2 linked regions of the Danio rerio genome follow. The protein of the gene in region 1 interacts with the protein of each later gene in a pairwise test. Links are inferred from orthologs where the notes say so. Each region holds a gene or a part of one and is shown in the gene's direction. Other genes may lie near its edges.

Region 1 (4,386 bases):
ACTGTAAGCTGCATAGAAGTGTATTAAAAAATATCTAGTGAAATATTATTTACTGTCATCATGGCAAAGATAAAATAAATCAGTTATTAGAAATGAGTTATTAAAATTATTATGTTTAGAAATGTGTTGAACAAATCTTCTCTCTGTTAAACAGAAATTGAGGGGAAAAAATAAACAGGGGGGTCTAATAAATCAAGGGGGCTAATAATTCTGACTTCAACTGTACATTATGTATAATGGTAGTGTTCAGTGACAAGATCCATTTAGAAATAATTCTGTAATGCCAAACATTATACACTTCAGAAATCAATGCCATACAGCTTTATTAACTTATTTAAATAAGTTAAAGTAACAAAATATTGTTGACTTTTGTCATATCATTTTTACATTGTGTATAATAAACTGAAATCGAATAATATAATAAGCAATCTTCAAACAATATATACTATTAATACAAATAAGTTAATTATGCAAATGTATATTTTTACATAATTAAAATGTATTAAAATCAATTAATAAAAAAGTATTTCTTAAAAATGTAATAATACAGTTTACATATAACGCCATTTATATTAATAGGTTTAGAAAATGCTTAAATAAACTGAATAAATTACTTCCACTATTCATAATAACATTTATATTTATAAATAGAAACTAATATTTACCGAAATATAAAATACAGGCCTAATATATATATATATATATATATATATATATATATATATATATATATATATATATATATATATATATATATATATATATATATATATATATATTCATAATATCCATCTCATGTGGTGCATATAGTACTGAAGTCATTTTGGGATACTGTATTCTTATTTTATATTGTATGTTAAAACAAATTAAAACAATATTTTAAAGCCCTTTTTATTTATTTATTTTTTTATTGCAATTTTAGAACACAGAACATACAAAGGGAATAAAAACATTATGTTTACATAAAAATAAATACAACATAAAACAAAAATAAAAAAATACAATTATTCAAAGACAGCATTTAAGGCTTTAAGATAATAATAGTATAATAATAACAGTTCTTTTTGTTTGGTATTTTTTGTTTCTTTTATTGTCCTTGTCCTATTTCTATTTTTAAGTGAGTAAAATTAGGTTTTTCCACTGCACATGTACATTTATGAATAAAAATATTTCCATATATAATTAGCAAATTACAAAACACCACATTATAAAGTAGACAGTATTCTCATATAAAGAATAAATAATCTTTTTCTTTGAATTGAAAAGCAATATTCATAACGTTTACCAAAAAAAAAAAAAAGATAACACCAAAACAACTGTGTATAAATACAACCATAACATAAATGAGCAATACTCTCTTCTTTATCATCACAGAAAGCGCATTATAAATCTACATTTCATTTTAAAGCCCTTTTAAACCCCTCTTTCTGTCTTTCTGAACATCCAATCAACGCTAAGAAAACCTTCTAGATGCCGCCTCCCAAATGCGTCACGATCTCTCAGCGATCATATGACAACACCACAACAAAAATGTCTGCCTGCATCTCAGTCCAGTAAATGTTTGATCGTTTTAGGAATACAATAAAAGTCTGCATACATGCAAAACCTCCTGCATCAGACTGCGACGCTTTAGAAACAAACAAAGTCAGACGAAAACTAGTCAGAAAGCGAATATTTTAGCACGTAAGCGATTACACTCGTCTGTATCGGTTTATTATTAGCATAACTCAATAAATCTCGTGCTTTGCTCTCGAAAAAGTTCAAATGGAGCCCACAGCTTCGGGAATATTCTGTAACAGGATGCTCAGTATGGTGAACTCTGAGGATGTGAACGCCATCATTCAAGCCCAGAGACATATGTGAGTATCCCTGTCTAGTGAAATTGAGGTAAAATTCGGATTATATTCACACATCCAGACTTTCTCCTTAACAGTATAACTTCAGAAAAGTGTCGTTTTCAAATTCTTAACAGTGGAATCATATTAGCAGCCAATGACTATCAAAATGCAACATTGTTCACAGTCAAATAAATAGTGCTAATGTTGTTTTCAAGTCACACCAAAGTCCCTGTAAGGCATATTGTATTCTATGTATTCTATAGTCTTTGTGATTTCATATAATTCATTTTCTTGTCGGCTTAGTCCCTTTATTAATCCGGGGTCACCATAGCGGAATGAACCGCCAACTTATCCAGCAAGTTTTTACGCAGCGGATGCCCTTCCAGCCACAACCCATCTTTGGGAAACATCCACACACACATTTACACACTCGTACACTACGGACAATTTAGCCTACCCTATTCACCTGTACCGCATGTCTTTGGACTGTGGGGGAAACCGGAGCATCCGGAGGAAACCCACACGAAGGCAGGGAGAACATACAAACTCCACACAGAAATGCCAACTGAGCCGAGGTTCGAACCAGCGACCCAGAGACCTTCTTGCTGTGAGGCAACAGCACTACCTATTGCACCACTGCCTCGCCCTGATTTCGATTATTCAAATTACCACGGTAAACATAAGGAAATTGAGGTAAAGTTGGTTTTATATTTGAACATTCTTTCAGTGATCACTTGTGATATGGTCCCTATATTGTTTACCATGGTACTGGTAAAACATTGGGTCTGAAATCCTGTGTAAGAATGACTTCAAAACAACATAACCACTATTTATTTGACTATAAACAACCTAGTCTGATGCTCATTGACTGCTAATATGTTTCCACTATTTAGTATTCGCAAAGAGTAAGTTTCTGAAATTATATTATTAAAGAGAAAGTCTGAATGTGTGAATATAAAACCAACTTCACCTCAAAATATAGGAAGAATGTCACAAGTTGAATTTAAAACCAACTTTAACGTACCTAAATTCTAGTAAAGTACCTAAAAAGGAAGCTGTTTAAAACCTGTTTTGATGCATGTCCTACAGGCTGGACCGCTTTGAGAAAACCAATGAGATGCTGATCAACTTCAACGGCTTGTCCAATGTGCGCTTACAGCAGATGAATGAACACTTTCTGATGCACACCAGGACTTTGATAGAGATGAAGAAAGACTTGGACAGCATCTTCAGAAGAATAAGGTGTTATGTTTGCAAATTAAGATTGAATTGAGTGATGTTTAGCAATGAGTGTGTTACCATATTTTACTATTTTGTCATTTAAAATGCCATTAAAGTAACTTTTCACAAATTAAACTCAACAAATTAGTTGAGTAATATTACATTGTAAGTCAGTACATTATTTAAGTGTAAATAGAAAATGTACTCTAGTTTTCACCTGTGTATAGGGGAGAGCGGGGCACAAAGTAACACTTTTTGGTTTTGGCCAAATAATGAACAAAGTAATGGAGTTAGACAAACCATCTGAATTCATACGGTCAAGGAAAACCTGGAAAAGTCGTAGTATTTTGACATGCCTTTTTCAAGGCTTGGGAAAGTTTGGGAAAAAGAGAAAAACCCACAAAGTTTTGGAAAAATCATGGAAAACAGAAATCTTTATACTTGAATATAGGTTATTTACTGCTTTTCTGTCCTTTGCCAGTCACATTCTCACAATATTAGTGTGATGTAAGCATTATCTGAATCAATTTTACATAGATGTAAATATAAATTAAAACTTAATAGGTTGTTGCTTGTTTTACGATATGCTGTAATCAATTTGAACCTGCATTGTTTTTCTTTTACCATGCATATGTAGACATTGCATGAAACATTAAGGTCATAAAAATTTACTTAAAAGTTTTGGAAAAATCATGCAAAAGTCATGGAATTTTAGTAGTAAAAATGTGTCTGAACCCTGAACCATTTATTTTTACCAACAACACACAAGCCTCTCCTACCAATGAGCAATGGTTGTATGATTTTCAGACCTATGGTTTCTGTGTATTATTGCCAAAAGTGCAGGGAGTAAAAATGTTACTATTTACCCCACATGTGGGGCAAGTTGTAACAGACAGAGGGTTAGTTGTAACACATGCTTATAAAGTCAGCTCTCACACAATTTATTTAAAATCAGTTTATTTAAATAGTAGCTATATTTCCTCAGTACATTGCTCAGTTTATTTTTATTCAACATAGCACAATATGTTTATTTATTTATCTGTTGGATAAAGACATTTGGATTTATTTCATTATTGTACATTATTATACAATGCACTTATTTGCAGTATTAGCTATAAAATAAATTTTTTTCTATTAAAAAATATTTTCTTTTATAAAACATTTTGTATAAAAAGTTCTGAACATTACACTCAAAAAAAAAAAAATATATATATATTATCAGTCACAGTTTTTTTTTTTACATCTTTCAAAATGGTTCCATCTTTCAGCCTAGAAGAAGGTAATCACAGCAATATAAGATTTTACTTGCATACTTACACAGATTTTT
Region 2 (4,355 bases), on another chromosome or scaffold:
GGTGCTCTGGTTTCCCTCACAGTCCAAAGGCATGTAGTATTGGTAAATGTACCTGGAAGGGCAACCGCTGCGTAAAAAACATGTGCTGGATGGTGGTTCACAGTGGCGCAGTGGGTAGTAGCACAATCACCTCACAGCAAGAAGATCGCTGGTTCAAGCTTTGTCTGGGACAGATTGCATTTCTGTGTGGAGTTTGCATGTTCTCCCCGTGTTTGCGTGGTTTTTCCCCACAGCTCAAAGACATGTAGTATAGGTGAACTGGGTAGGCTAAATTGTCCGTAGTGTATGTGTGTGAATGGGAGTTTCTCAGTGATGGGGTGCAGCTGGATGGGCATCCGTTGCGTAAAACAAATGCTGGATAAGTTGGCGGTTCATTCCGCAGTGGCATCCCCAGATTAACTATATATAATATAAGGCGAGGTAGTGGCGCAGTAGGTAGTGCTGTCGTCTCACAGCAAGAAGGTCGCTGGGTCGCGGGTTTGAACCTCGGCTCAATTGGCGTTTCTGTGTGGAGTTTGCATGTTCTCCCTGCCTTCGTGTGGGTTTCCTCCGGGTGCTCCGGTTTCCCCCACAGTCCAAAGACATGAGGTACAGGTGAATTGGGTAGGTTAAATTGTCTGAAGCGTATGAGTGTGTGTGTGTGTGTGTGTGTGTGTGGATGTTTCCCAGAGATGGGTTGCGGCTGGAAGGGCATCAGCTGCGTAAAAACTTGCTGGATAAGTTGGCGGTTCATTCCGCTGTGTCGACCCCGGATTAATACAGGGACTAAGCCGACAAGAAAATGAATAAATAAATGAATAATATATTATAATAAAATATAATATAGCCTAAACCCTTTTTGGATGATGAATATAATTTTGGAGTATGACGATTGCAGTTGTCAAATAATTTAAAAACTCTTTAATCCGTGTTAGGACTGCATTGTCTCCTTAATAACCTAAAGTTGTTATTGTTTTGTTTTTGTTTTTTTTACACCAAACTGGCTGCTTGCTTCTGTGGTGAATAAACTCCACTCCCCACAACACCCTGCTTCGAAACAGAAACTATGTGCAGTGCAGCTCATTTTCGCGAATCGATTCTTTCAAACACCACTCAATGAACAATTCAGGGATGATTTTTGTTTATGTCATCACGTGACCAAATGACATCTCTTTGTGGCATAAAATAGGCTTAGAAAATCAATACTGCAATAGTTAACCTTTTTTTTTTACTATCAAACGTGTTTATTTTAATTCACATTGACCTAGTTAGTTAGTGGCTCACAAGCATTGGACATATCCTGAAACTTTTTTGACTTTTGTGTTGACAATTCCCACAGAACCATATAGCCAGTAAAGTACATTAATAACTTACCTTTCACTCCATTTTGGTCACTTAAAATGATACTCTTGTGTCATTACGAAATAAAATGGCCAGAAAAGACGATGTTCTTGAATGATTTTCCAAACAATTGGTGAGTTGTTGTGTCGAGAAGCACAGTCACTGATTCAATCTCGTTCGTAAACGAATCGTTCGAATTCAAGTGATTCTTTAAAATGATTCGACTCATAAGAACGACTCGCTCGCGAATCAACCATGCAACAACAGACGAGAGCGAAGTGAAAGGCAGTGGATTCCTCTCATTCTGCCACTAAAAGAGAGACACACAGAGAGAGAGACGGGCGCATTTTCACACGTAAATGGAGGCTTGGCCACCGGGCGCCATCAAACAGCCCTAAACCTGCAAACATGGTGAAGGACCAAGAAGTGGAGCGCATCGCCAAGAAGCTGGACAAAATGGTGCACAAAAAAAACACCGTAAGTGACACACATTTTTTTCTGTAGCATCTGATAATAATAAAACAGGCAGGAGAACATTGTTTATTCGACGTTCGTTCGTTCATGTTTGTATCCGTTAAACCAGCAGGAGACTAGTTGGTGTGTGTGTGATTATCACCTGTTTCATCCTATTCCAGACTACCGCCCGGTGTGCTCTTATTGGTCAGTCTCCATTGACAATCACTCGTTCGTTTTGTACTCTCATGTTTGAAGCGTTTGTGTGCTGTGATGAGCTGGCAGCTGGTTGTTCTCCAAATTTCTCCAGCGCAAACAAAAGACTCATTTATCTAGTACTTCACACAAGTCAGCCCCAGTTTCGTCCCCAAAACATAGTATCTGCCTGTGTTTTTGTGTAAACCAAGCTATAGTTGAAGAAGCTAGTGTTTACTGACGCATTTAAGAAGTTGTTGTAGTGACTGTTTACCAATTTTGTTTGTTTCTCACCTCCTTGTGTTTTTATGTTCAGGATGGTGCCATTGACTTGCTTCAGGAGCTGAAGAACATGAAAATGTCTTTGGAGACCCTACAGGTATCTACATAGACTGCAGAAGGCATCTCTGGAACGAGTGTGTGCTGTGCTAGATTATATAATCAACTCTTTTTCTTTCTGTCAGGGAATCCCATGCTAGTGTTCTCATTGGCATACTGTTAGTACTGTTGGAATTTCAGCAGAAAATATCTGAATAAATTACTATGAGCCAATCCCGAATATAGGAGAGGACGTTGAAATCTCAATCAAATTCTCACAATCCAGTCATGAAAATGTAATCAACTCTATAGACGAATTCAATGTTGTCATGTCATTGGCCCAGTGAACATTTTCTGCTTGTTATCAAACTATTTCATTACTGTAACAACAGCAGTGGTGTAAAATAACAAATTACAAATACTCCGATTACTAAAACTGAGTAGTTTTTTTTTCTCAGGAATTGTAATTTACGAAGTAGTTTTAAAAATGTGTACTTCCCCTAGAGTACATTTTTACAGCAGTATCTGTACTTTTACTCCACTACTTTCCTTCAACCTGCAGTCACTATTTGTTTTTTTCTTGTGTACGGGGATTGGCTTAGTAAAAAATCTATCCAGCGATTCCTGTCCAAATCAAATCGCACAGAGAAAACTCAATTGCATCATATTGAACAACCTCAATACATGGATGCTTTATACATGCAGCAAACCATTGTAAAAGTATTGCAATTGTCCAAGAAGATGTCAAAAATCTTTACACGCAATGAGCCAGAGGCTTTTTAAACTATGTCACTGATAAGAAGATGAAGGGTGTTTACTGTATGATGAAATTGTCAAATGGACTTAAACAATCACTAAATGCACTACAGAATGTTACGTTTACACACACACACACAAATTGCATGTACACGCATCAGCTTTTCACAGAGTAATACTCAATTCTCACTATTGAGTACTTTTATCATTGTGTGGCTCTCTTTAGATTCTCGAAAGCTTTAGAAATTATAAAATGTAAAACAGAAAAATACGCTGGGACCATTGTTTTTGTTTGCATGTCTCAAAATGATCTATAATGTCATGGCGTTTGACAATTTTTCGGATGAGTACGTAAAAAATAGCAATTCACACCTAATGAACCCTGCTGACTGATCTCAGAAGTGCTAATTTCTTTTTCTTTCTTTCTTTCTTTCTTTCTTTCTTTCTTTTAAATGGCAGAAACTATAAATCTAGAAGACCACAAATGCATTCAAGACCATTTTTTTGCTTGAATTTGATAAAAAGCACACAACAGAGCAACTTTCATGAATTAAACTACGATGTGCTTTCAATTCCAGTTTGTTCGTTGAATTTAATTTAGTATCATTCGTGTTTATTTTTTGATTTATGATTTAATCATATTGCCAATGTTACAAAATGCCAAAATGATGCACAAAAGGCACAGTTTATTTACTTCAATTTTATTTAGTTATTTATTTCACCCTACATTACTAAATTGCATAAACAGTCAGTGTTTTTTACTTTGGTTTAGGTAATTTAAGCAAATGAATGTGAGAAATAACTGAAAACATAAATATAATGCATTATCTCCACTGTCTTGCTTGGTTGGGACTTGTGGAGCTGCGCATCGATGGATTTGCTCTTCAGTGTTTGAACTTTCAGTAGTGAAAATTTATCCACACTAAACTGAACTTCAACTTTGACATCTGGACTCATACAAATTCTATTTTCTAGAACTTTGTTAAGGGGCTTTAACACAATCTACTTCGTAAAAAGTGCTATAGAAATAAACCTGAATTGAATTTTATAAGCATTTAATTTTATAATATTTACTAATTTCAGTTAGAGTTCGTTTTAGATGATGAGCAAAATATTTTCTGTTTAATATTTTATTTATTTATTTTTTTTTATTGTAATACCCCTGAGATGGATTTAGTCAATATGGATGGAGGTAATGTGCAGACAAACAGCCCTTATTGGTCCCTGAGGAGAAATTAAAGCACAACAGATCATCAGTGTTCAGAAGGAAATACCCCAGAGCTCTGGCTTTGTCTTTCGATATCAGTGATTAA

Evidence for each region.
Region 2: the proteins of kxd1 (region 1) and tcea2 interact in binary tests that used the Homo sapiens proteins (3 or more experiments, as listed by UniProt). The two-hybrid records come from large-scale screens. The link is inferred for Danio rerio from reciprocal best matches to the Homo sapiens genes KXD1 and TCEA2.

Annotation. Positions count from the first base shown.
Region 1 is NC_133200.1:21,951,689-21,956,074, forward strand, and holds the start of kxd1 (kxDL motif-containing protein 1), read left to right. Parts: upstream 1-1,508; 5' UTR 1,509-1,764; coding exon of another isoform or gene 1,765-1,859; 5' UTR 1,860-2,511; intron 2,512-2,927; coding exon of another isoform or gene 2,928-2,955; coding exon 2,956-3,080; intron 3,081-4,386.
Region 2 is NC_133198.1:8,860,849-8,865,203, reverse strand, and holds the start of tcea2 (transcription elongation factor A protein 2), read left to right. Parts: upstream 1-1,547; 5' UTR 1,548-1,728; coding exon 1,729-1,797; intron 1,798-2,284; coding exon 2,285-2,347; intron 2,348-4,355. UniProt on the Homo sapiens protein: Necessary for efficient RNA polymerase II transcription elongation past template-encoded arresting sites.